Linked DNA regions of Macaca fascicularis. The protein of the gene in region 1 binds, or shares a complex with, the protein of each later gene. Links are inferred from orthologs where the notes say so. Each region holds a gene or a part of one and is shown on either strand. Other genes may lie near its edges. The genes, in order: EIF4A1, PDCD4 and KANK1.

Evidence for each region.
Region 2: the proteins of EIF4A1 (region 1) and PDCD4 are in contact, whole or in part, in a crystal structure (PDB 2ZU6), measured with the Homo sapiens proteins. The link is inferred for Macaca fascicularis from reciprocal best matches to the Homo sapiens genes EIF4A1 and PDCD4. Residues at the interface, in NP_001407.1 of Homo sapiens: Gln75, Thr109, Arg110, Glu111, Ile135, Gly137, Val140, Thr158, Gly160, Arg161, Asp164, Glu186, Leu188, Ser189, Arg190, Gly191, Phe192, Gln195, Ala214, Thr215, Met216, Pro217, Glu240, Leu241, Thr242, Asn280, Thr281, Arg282, Arg283, Thr329; in NP_055271.2 of Homo sapiens: Pro170, Gln173, Glu174, Glu177, His178, Glu183, Glu186, Met187, Asp190, Leu209, Glu210, Lys212, Glu249, Leu250, Leu252, Asp253, Thr254, Pro255, Arg256, Gly320, Gln321, Gln322, Ser323, Val324, Leu327, Glu348, Lys352, Glu355, Val356, Pro357.
Region 3: the proteins of EIF4A1 (region 1) and KANK1 are in contact, whole or in part, in a crystal structure (PDB 7DDX), measured with the Mus musculus proteins. The link is inferred for Macaca fascicularis from reciprocal best matches to the Homo sapiens genes EIF4A1 and KANK1. Residues at the interface, in NP_659207.1 of Mus musculus: Lys99, Val140, Arg141, Val144, Gln145, Lys146, Leu147, Gln148, Met149, Glu150, Ala151, Arg168, Arg169, Tyr170, Ser172; in NP_852069.4 of Mus musculus: Gly1168, Asn1169, Asn1171, His1175, Tyr1176, Val1178, Asn1201, Lys1202, Ala1203, Tyr1205, Met1209, Leu1210, Leu1213, Ala1214, Ala1215, Gln1240, Ala1241, Leu1248, Ser1251, His1252, Arg1254, Asp1273, Glu1274, His1285.

Annotation. Positions count from the first base shown.
Region 1 is NC_088390.1:7,624,608-7,626,949, forward strand, and holds part of EIF4A1 (eukaryotic initiation factor 4A-I), read left to right. Parts: intron 1-1,511; coding exon 1,512-1,680; intron 1,681-1,796; exon of another isoform or gene 1,797-1,939; intron 1,940-2,042; coding exon 2,043-2,152; intron 2,153-2,338; coding exon 2,339-2,342. UniProt on the Homo sapiens protein: ATP-dependent RNA helicase which is a subunit of the eIF4F complex involved in cap recognition and is required for mRNA binding to ribosome.
Region 2 is NC_088383.1:119,976,242-119,979,890, forward strand, and holds part of PDCD4 (programmed cell death protein 4), read left to right. Parts: intron 1-1,491; coding exon 1,492-1,589; intron 1,590-2,507; coding exon 2,508-2,622; intron 2,623-3,649. UniProt on the Homo sapiens protein: Inhibits translation initiation and cap-dependent translation. May excert its function by hindering the interaction between EIF4A1 and EIF4G. Inhibits the helicase activity of EIF4A. Modulates the activation of JUN kinase.
Region 3 is NC_088389.1:98,618,847-98,623,102, forward strand, and holds the start of KANK1 (KN motif and ankyrin repeat domain-containing protein 1), read right to left. Parts: upstream 2,854-4,256; 5' UTR 2,556-2,853; intron 1-2,555.

The DNA.
Region 1 (2,342 bases):
TTACTGCAAGCTCCGCCTCCCGGGTTTACTCCATTCTCCTGCCCTCAGCCTCCCAAGTAGCTGGGACTACAGGCGTCTGCCACCACGCCCAGCTAATTTTTTTGTATCTTTTAGTAGAGATGGGGTTTCACCATGTTAGCCAGGATGGTCTCGGTCTCCCAACCTCATGATCCACCCGCCTCAGCCTCCCAAAGTGCTGGGATTACAGGTGTGAGCCACCACGCCCAGCCGGACAGTCCTTTTTTCACCTTGGCTTAATGCCTAGAGCTGTTTCATGCCGGGGGCACACACAATTCTAATGCTGGACTTTTTCTGGGTCATGCTGCGACACTCATCTCAACTAGAGTATTGAGGCTCAGCATGTTTTTTAAATGTTCTGTGGCAGGTGCAATGATTATTCTGGGTGTGGATAATGTAAGAAGTTACAGCAGAGCTCCATTCTAAGGCACTTGGCTCTCAGTTTTCTCAGAGTGAACATGGCTCGTAGCTTTTGGTCCTCTGGTAGGAGTACAATAGGACATGGATATGCATCACCTGTTCTATAAAACTGGTTGCTGGCCGGGCGCGGTGGCTCACTTGTGTAATCCCAACACTTTGGGAGGCTGAGGCAGGCAGACCACTTGAGATCAGGAGTTGGAGACCAGCCTGGCCAACATAGTGAAACCCCATCTCTACTAGAAATATAAAAACTAGTTGGGCGTAGTGGCATGTGCCTGTTATCCCAGCTACTTGGGGGAGGCTCAGGCAGGAGAATTTAACCCAGGAGGCGGAGGCTGCAGTGAGCCGAGATTGTGCCATTGCACTCCAGCCTGGGCGATGAGCAAAGCTCTGTTTCAAAAAAAACAAAACAAAACTGGTTGCTGCATGACGAGGCAGTTGGTCAAATTAGCTTTCAGAAAGTTACGGGTTCTAAACATCTAGAGTAAGAAACTGAATTAATTATCTGAGCGGCCTTACTGTGAATCACTGTACACTCAGGAACCAGACTGAGTTGAAATCCTGTCTTTGCCACCTATTGACAGCACGATCTTAAGTGGATTTTAGCCTCTGCCTGTTTCTCAGCTGAATGTGAGTGTAATAATAGTGCATGCCCCAAAGTTGTTGGTTAGGAATAAATACATGAAAAACATTTAAGAATGGTGCCGGCCGGGCGCGGTGGCTCACGCCTGTAATCCCTGCACTTTGGGAGGCCGAGGCGGACGGATCACGAGGTCAGGAGATCGAGACCATCCTGGCTAACACGGTGAAACCCCGTCTCTACTAAAATACAAAAAATTAGCCGGGCGTGGTGGCGGGCGCCTGTAGTCCCAGCTACTCGGGAGGCTGAGGCAGGAGAATGGCGCGAACCTGGGAGGCGGAGCTTGCAGTGAGCCGAGATGGTGCCACTGCACTCCAGCCTGGGCGACAGAGTGAAGACTCCGCCTCAAAAAAAAAAAAAAAAAAAAAAAAAAGGAATGGTGCCTGGCACAGCTGTAGCTAATATGTGAGCACCTATCTTTCTCTGTGCTCAGATACAGAAGGTGGTCATGGCACTAGGAGACTACATGGGTGCCTCCTGTCATGCCTGTATTGGGGGCACCAACGTGCGTGCTGAGGTGCAGAAACTGCAGATGGAAGCCCCCCACATAATCGTGGGGACCCCTGGCCGAGTGTTTGATATGCTTAACCGGAGATACCTGTGTGAGTAATTCTGTTCTCCAACCCCTGGGTCACTTCGCTCTTGTGCATGCTTTCCAGTCTTTCAGTGTAAGCCAAAGTCATTCCCACAGATGCTGGTTTCCCTCTGGGGAAGAGCTGCTCTGTGATGGAGCCCATGCGTGTCATCTGAGCCTCTGGCTTCCCTGCCAGTGCAGCCCAGGCAGTGTCCTACTTCCCAGGGCTGTTTTCTGGCTTGGCGGGAACGTCCTGGGCAAAGGATCAGTCTTTGTACTCTGAGAGCAGACTACTCGGCCCCTCTCTGTTTTTTATCAACAAAGTTGGATACATCTCTCCTACATTTCCCTGATTATATGCTATATATTGGCTTTTTTTTCCTTCTCTAGCTCCCAAATACATCAAGATGTTTGTACTGGACGAAGCTGACGAAATGTTAAGCCGTGGATTCAAGGACCAGATCTATGACATATTCCAAAAGCTCAACAGCAACACCCAGGTGAGGGCGGCCTTGCTTGAATCGTTAATGATTCTGGAAGAAAAATATTAAGTGCCAGGGGAACCAAACTCTGGATTCTTGTCCTGAGCCTTTTTATGCATCCACTTCAGTTTTAGGTGTGGCTAGGGAAGGGAGCAGACCTTGGGAAGGATCCACTGCTCTAAGGCTGGCCTTTTTTTCCACTAGGTAG
Region 2 (3,649 bases), on another chromosome or scaffold:
AAAACATTAATTTAGAAATAGAATATAGGCATGTCAGTTCCTAAATGCTGTTTCTGTTATACTTATGACAGACAGTAGTCTGTATGAGATATTGAGTGGTGATTCTAATGCAGACATTTTTTCCTTTTATACCAATACACGTACTGTAACAAAATGATTATATAAGTTTATATTTATTGTAGAATTTTTGAAAAATAAAAGCCGGAAAGAAGAAAGGCCAGCAAAAACTGCTACTGGTGTTAAGTTTTCCATTCTCCTTTCTGTGGGTATATATCAGTGTATGACTTCTATAAATCCTTAATTTTTTTAAATTAAAAAAATGGAATCATACCATGTATGCTATTTTGTAAACTTGATTTTTCTCATACCATGAAATATGGTAAATATCTTTCCCTGTGGCCACATAATATACCATTTTACATATATACCATTGAACCATAGCTTTATTTTTGGACACTAATTTCCATTTTTTATAATAAGTAATGCTGTGAACATACTTCCAGCTATTTCTATACAACTTTTCTTTCTCCACAAGATAAATTCCTTTGATTAGTTTTTGAGAGAACCTAGTCTTTTTTTTTTTTTTTTTTTTTTTTTTGAGACAGAGTCTTGCTCTGTCGCCCAGGCTGGGGTGCAGTGGCCGGATCTCAGCTCACTGCAAGCTCTGCCTCCTGGGTTTAGGCCATTCTCCTGCCTCAGCCTCCCGAGTAGCTGGGACTACAGGCGCCCACCACCTTGCCCGGCTAGTTTTTTGTATTTTTTAGTAGAGACGGGGTTTCACCGTGTTAGCCAGGATGGTCTCGATCTCCTGGCCTCGTGATCCGCCCGTCTCGGCCTCCCCAAGTGCTGGGATTACAGGCTTGAGCCACCGCGCCCGGCCTCCTCTTTTTTTTTTTTTAAGAAGACTTCACTTGACCTTAAATCATTCATTTAACCCCAGCACTTTGCGAGGCTGAGGCAGGCAAATCACGAGGTCAGGAGTTTGAGACCAGCCTGGCCAAGATGGTGACACCCCGTCTCTACTAGAAATGTGAAAATTAGCCAGGCATGGTGGCGTGCGCCTGTAGTCCCAGCCACTTGGGAGGCTGAGGCCGAAGAATTACTTGAACCCGGGAGGTGGAGGTTGCAGTGAGCTGAGATCACGCCACTGCACTCCAGCCTGGGTGACAGAGCGAGACTCTGTCTCAAAAAAAAAAAAAAAAAAATCATGTACTATGTATTCAGGCAGTGTGCAAGGTGGTAGGAATTCATTAGTGAGCACAACAGAGGTGGCCCCCACTCTGGCACTTAACTTGAAGGTTAAGATGTGGGAGTGTATGCCAGGCATAACAGGTACTACATAGGCTTTTTTTTTAAAAAAACTTCCAGCATCTTTCAGGTACTGACTGTGTACTTCAGCCAATCATCATCATTTATGTATTTAGAAATTGTGTCCTATAAAAGTTATTTAAGATTTTTTTATATAGCTCTTTTTTTTTTTCCTTATTACAGTTGGTGGGCCAGTTTATTGCTAGAGCTGTTGGAGATGGAATTTTATGTAATACCTATATTGATAGTTACAAAGGAACTGTAGATTGTGTGCAGGCTAGGTAAGTAAATCACTTTTCCTGCTTAGAATTTCAAAATAGGGGAAAATTCTACAGGATCATATTGAAATGACACTTGGCATTAATCAAACACTCTGTACATCTGTTTGTCACTTCTCTATATTCTCCACTGTTAAAATGGAGAGAATGTTGACGTGACATACCAGGAAGAGGACAGTACTATAATGCAAAAGTTCTGGAGTTTAGCTAAATCATTAATTACCTTCATGTCAAGCCACTCTTCTTTGGGCCTCAGTTTCTTTATGAAACAAAGCCATTGGACAGATCTTTTAAGTTCTGTTTTCAGGTTCTAGCATTCTGTAGTAGTTTAATATTCTAATAAGATGGATAACATTAACAAGAGAGGCCTCATTTATAGTTTTATTTTGTATTTATCTACTGTAGGAATTTTAGTCAGAAAATGTCTTTTTCACTCTTGTGATTTAGTATAATTAATATGATATTTGGAATAACTAAATGTGATATTTGGGAGTTATGCTATATGATTTTTCTTGACTTCTTGGAGACTTGGACTCAGCCATGTCTTAGTTTTCCTTAGGTCTGTATATTAATTTTCTAGGGCTACTTCACATCATAGTGAAATGGTCTTCCTGGGTAGGAAGACATGGATCTAGGTGAAAGTTAATTATATATGAAGTGCTTCTTCTCAGTGTAGATCAGTTATTTTGTAATGTGTTTTGATTTTTCTTGAAGGAGAAATGAAATAAAGCATGAGAATATTAACATGAGGATCAACTTTTTTTGCTCCTTTTTGTTTTGAAAAAGTGTTTTGAATTTTATTTTGCTTTTATGTTTTGTGAAAGATTTAGGGCATATAGGATTTTGTAAGCTTTATCCATAATTTGGTAAACTTTAGGTATGTCCAGCTACCAAACTTAAATTTTTTTTCTTTCTCTGTAGAGCTGCTCTGGATAAGGCTACTGTGCTTCTGAGCATGTCTAAAGGTGGAAAGCGTAAAGATAGTGTGTGGGGCTCTGGAGGTGGGCAGCAATCTGTCAATCACCTTGTTAAAGAGGTAATGATTGGGTATTGTCTTTAACTTAATTTACATGTATTCCTCTGAGTGAAATAAATTGTGGCTACTAGCTGTTATTTTTATGGACAAAAATTAAGTTCGGTCTTACAGCTGTAATTGGAAAATGAAATAATTCTTTTATATTTGACTTTATGAGCTTTTATTATAAATTATATGATAAAAAATGAGTCTGTTAAAAGGGCTTTCATGAATAATTATAAGCAAGCCATCTATGAACTTCAAAGGAATGCCTGAAATCTTTCTCTCATATTATTATTTAATAATTTTCAAATGCTGTTGAAATGAGATTTTCTGTCTTTTAGCTATTCAATAAATATGCTTTTATATAAGTAAATTAAAACTAGATAGTCTTAAATAATGAGTTAGGAATTATGAGCACTAGAGTAGATCAGAGTGTTAGATTTTTGTGAGGACGTTCACTACCCATATGCGTGTTTTAAAAGAAAATTGATAGTAATCCCAGTACTTTGAGAGGCTGAGGCAGGTGGATTGCTTGAGGCCAGGAGTTCGAGACCAGCCTTGTCAACATGGTGAAACCCCATTTCTACTAAAAGTACATAATAATTAGTCAGGCATGGTGGTGCGCACCTGTAATCCCAGCTACTCAGGAGGCCGAGGCACCAGTATTGCTTGAACCCAGGAGGCGGAGGTTGCAGTGAGCCAAGATCACGCCACTGTACTCCAGCATGGGTGACAGAACAAGATTGTGTCTCAGAAAAAAAAAAAAAAAAGCGATTTATTGCATTAAAATGCCAGATTTATTTCCTGTGGATTTTTTTTTTTCTGGCTGTATTGTGGTATTCTGTAACAAGAAACCAAAAAACAAAAAAAACTCCTTATCTGCAGATCTCTTTAAGAAAAGGCATGCAACTAGAAGATTTGTAGTTCATGTGCTTCTGATTTTTGAGTATAATCTTTTCATGTAACTGTAATTTTGATTTTTAGTAAATCTTTTAATGAGGGGTGTGTGTGTGTATGTGTATCTAGCTTAAGTGTTAAGGAGTTC
Region 3 (4,256 bases), on another chromosome or scaffold:
TACAGATGTATGTGCCACCACACCCGGTTATTTTTTATTTTTATTTTTATTTTTTATTTATTTTTTTTTTGAGACGGAGTCTGGCTCTGTCGCCCGGGCTGGAGTGCAGTGGCCGGATCTCAGCTCACTGCAAGCTCCGCCCCCCGGGTTTACGCCATTCTCCTGCCTCAGCCTCCCGAGTAGCTGGGACTACAGGCGCCCGCCGCCTCGCCCGGCTAGTTTTTTGTATTTTTTAGTAGAGACGGGGTTTCACCGTGTTCGCCAGGATGGTCTCGATCTCCTGACCTAGTGATCCGCCCGTCTCGGCCTCCCAAAGTGCTGGGATTACAGGCTTGAGCCACCGCGCCCGGCCGAAGGGTCCAATTTTTCAGACCCACTCTGCTGCTTCAGAATCTGCTCACCCTACAGTTACTCCATCTTAACAGTCCTCAGCTCCCACAAGCACTGCCCCTTTAGGCCATTCTCCCATCCCTCTCCCCAGTTCCTTGCACTGCCCCCAACTAGATCCTTTTCCATCCTCCTCCTCCCACCTGGGCTAAAAAGTTAATGTATGCACACACTAACTCAGAACTATTTATGAACAGACACCGATACTCATGAAATGAAACTAGTCTTCAATGTATCAATTCCAGTAGCCATTTGCCTGTGGTTTTTTGGTTTCTTTCCTTGGGGCCAGTTTGGATATTTAAAAAAATTATTTTTAAGCCTACAGTCTTTTTTCCTTCTAACATTCCCTGCCGAGAGCGCACACAAACACACACCCAGAACTCACTTTTGCTGAGATAGAACCTCGACTAGAGTGATTTATGGACTAGGCAAGTCTAGAGTCCAGAGAGCATCCCTGTGCCCTAAGGGGATAAAATGTATTCCCAATTTGTGTATCTCTAAAGGAGGCAATTATTCCTCTACTGGAAGCTTCTCTTCCATCCTTATTCATTTTAACCTCCCCATAGGACAGTCAATACTTAATTTTTCTTCCATTGCTTCAGCAGCACCTTTCCCCAAACCTAGTAACAGAAAAAGGACCGAAGGTAATAACCTCTCGTTTTCTCACTCAACCTCTATCTTGGAAAAACTTCCTAAGTACCTGCCTTAAAATGAGGGAGAAGGGCTGGGAGATATAAGAATGACTGCTAATCGGTATAGGGTTTCTTTTTGGGGGCAACAAAACAGAACTAGATAGTAGTGATGATTTCATAACTTTATGGATATATTAAAAACCACTGAATTTTACACTTTAGAAGAGTAAATTTTTATGTTTATTACACTTCAACTTTTTAAATAAAACGTGGCACTTCTCAACACTTTAGTAGAGAAAGTTTGATGAAAAGAGAAACTGGCAGATGAATAGCTAGTTAGCTGTTACACCACCTAAAAATGAACTTGAATAAACTCAGGAATCCAAAATAAGCAAACAGACCCTAATTTCCATTCAACTCCAGAGGTGGGGGGCAATGAAGGTGAGGAAAGGAATTGCACGATTATAGATCTGGATGATTAAGCTTCTTTATTAGTCTCGGGTATCAGGGTCTAATAGAATCCATTATTTAATAAGATGGGCTGACCCTCCGTAGAGGCCATGTGCAGAAAGCGAGCGCTGGGGGACGCCATAAATTGTTGTTAACGCTAACACGGCCAAGGCCTTCACTAGGTCATGCTCGTGCAGCACGGCTCGTGCTGACCTGCAAGAGTCACCAAGAACAGTTGCCTCTGAAAGTTCCATGGGACCCAGGTGAAGAAGACGAATGGTCAAGGGGCAGTGGCTGCTGCGAGTGCCACTGCGTGTTCGCCAAAGCGGCATGGAAAACGGGACATTCAGGGGCAAGCCCGCTTAAGGGCCCCTGCACCGTCCTTCGACCTGGAACAGCTGGTCCTCCGAAACCCACGCTGTCCGCGCCCGGCTGGGCTGCCCCCAGAGGCCCTCAGCGCCGCAGCGCCCACACACACCCCTCCCCCACCTCCCCGCCCTCCAACCCTGGCCGGAGCCATCTCGGAGTTGGCGGAGGGCGACCTGAAGCCACCTGCCCCTCTGGGGCCGAGGATAAAGGGGTCTTGACCGCCACTCCCTCCTGCAGAGCACAGCACCGAACTTCACGGAGAGCCGCTTCAGAGAGGGTCCCCCATTCCACCCTGGGCTGGGGAACGGCCTAGAGGCATCCAAAGGCCAGAGCTCCGGGCCGGGGTCGGGCAGGCGCCCGCACCTTCCCGCCGGCCGGCCCAGTACGAACTTTCTCGCTGCTCTGTGCCCAGCGCGCCTCTCCGTCTTCCAGACCGGCCGAGCTCCGCCGCTGCACAGCGCGCCAAACTCCGACGGCCGCGGGGCCGACACCACCTCTCGGACCCCTCCCTAGGACCGCCCCGAGGCCGCCGGGTTCACCCGGGCGAGCGGGAGCCCGCGGGGCTGCCCTCCGCCACCCCCACGGCCACCTTGCGACCCCAGCGCGCGCCAAGTTGGCTCGGCGCGGGGGCCAGCCTGAGGCAGCGGTAGGGGCCTGGCGCTCCGGGGCAAACCCTCAGCGAAAAGGGGCGCAGCGCAACCCTCCCACGTCACTCACCTTCAGCCGCTCTTCCCAACCTGCCAGCCGTTCGCTCGCTCCGCCGCGGACCCGGAGCTCGGGGAGGGGCGGGGCGCAGGGGGCGGAGTCGGCCCCGGCTGGCAAGCGCCAGAATTAAACCCTGAATCGCACAGGAGCCTTCGGGCTCTGCGGCCGCCGCCTGGGCGGGGAAGCTGGGGCAGACCAGCAAGCCTTTCACCCGGGGTGGGAGACAGCTGTGGCTGCGGCTGCACTCCGAAGCGGCGCGTGAGAACGGCGCGGCTGGTGAAGCCCTGACTGCTCCCTCAGTCCCGAGGACGCCCGGCTCTCCGCCGCGCGCTCTTTGTACCGCGGAGCCGGCAGCGGGCGGATCTCTGCGCCTGCGCGCCGCTGCAACTACACCAGGCCCACGAGGCACCTTCGTGCACCTTCGCCGCCTCGCCTGGCCCGCGGGCCTTGCCGCGGCAAGAATTAAGCAGAAGAGCTTCCTCCACCCCGGCTTGCTCCTTCTACCAACCTGTGTTTACCACCTCCATCCTCGCACACACACACGCAAGGGGAAAAGAAATCCACCCCACCGTGAGACGGTGCGGTCCTCCCATCTCCGACTGGGGCGGGCGGGGGGTCCTGGCAACGAGGATGGCCTTGCAACGTCCACCCCAGCGCGTTTGTACCGCCCCTCCCTCCACGCTGCTAAGAAGTTTGCTGACCGCGGATGAGAGAGGGACGGGAGCGTGCAGCGCTGTTTCCCACAGGTGCCTCATCAGCGGCCAGAAACCTCCCGCCTACAAGGGCACCTCCCTTGTGACCTCCGTGCATTCGTCCTGGCTCGGCGGCAGGACAGAGTCCTCAGTGGAAAGGGGAGGATGCGTGTTCAGAAGGTTCCAGGTGTCTAGGGGCTCCATAGAAGACCCAATGCCTGCCTCGGGGACTCAGGATTGAACTGGCTTCCTAGTTCAGTCCTAAATACGCGATTTGGAGCAATCCAGTAGGTACAAGAGAAATTAGTAGGGATTGAGAAGTTGTAACTTTAGTCTTTCAAATTGAAGGTAGCTAGAATAAACAGAAGAGCTTGGGAACAGAAGGAACGACTTTATAAAAACCAGGTATTGCTTAAAAAACAATGTCAGCTCTTCAATCAACTGATTTTCTTAAGGGGGAGAGTCCTCCCCTCACCCCCAAGCTCTCTAGCACCGCACACATCCAGCAGGGCGTTGCACACGCTTAGTCTTTTTTGCAAGTGTGCAAGTGAAGAGCCATCAAACTTTACAAGGCAACATGCTTGCCTCTGGGGAGAAGACGCTGCTTCCCCACAGTTCACAGCGAAGCACACCTGCAAATTCCTGAACTTGATGGCTCCTGACTGTTTAGGGAATAGGTAAAGGGCAGCTGGAAGAGATGTGAAGGCAGGAAACCTCATTTTGAATCTCAGCCCCTTTGCCAGCTCACTGGGTGGCAGTAAACAAACTCTTTCCTCCTCCTGGGCCTTTTTCATCTGTAGAATAGGGCATTGGATGCAGTAGATATTTTCTAAAATCCCCCCCCCCCACCACCACCACTCCGCCCCAAATGTCTACTATTCTATGAAAAGGAGAATTGTTTCCATGGTGATAAGGGATGAGATATCAGAGGCAGCAGGACTCCTGCATTTAAAAAGTACTCGTGGGCCGGGTGCGGCGGCTCAGTCCTATAATCCTCGCACTTTGGGAGGCAGAGGCAGGT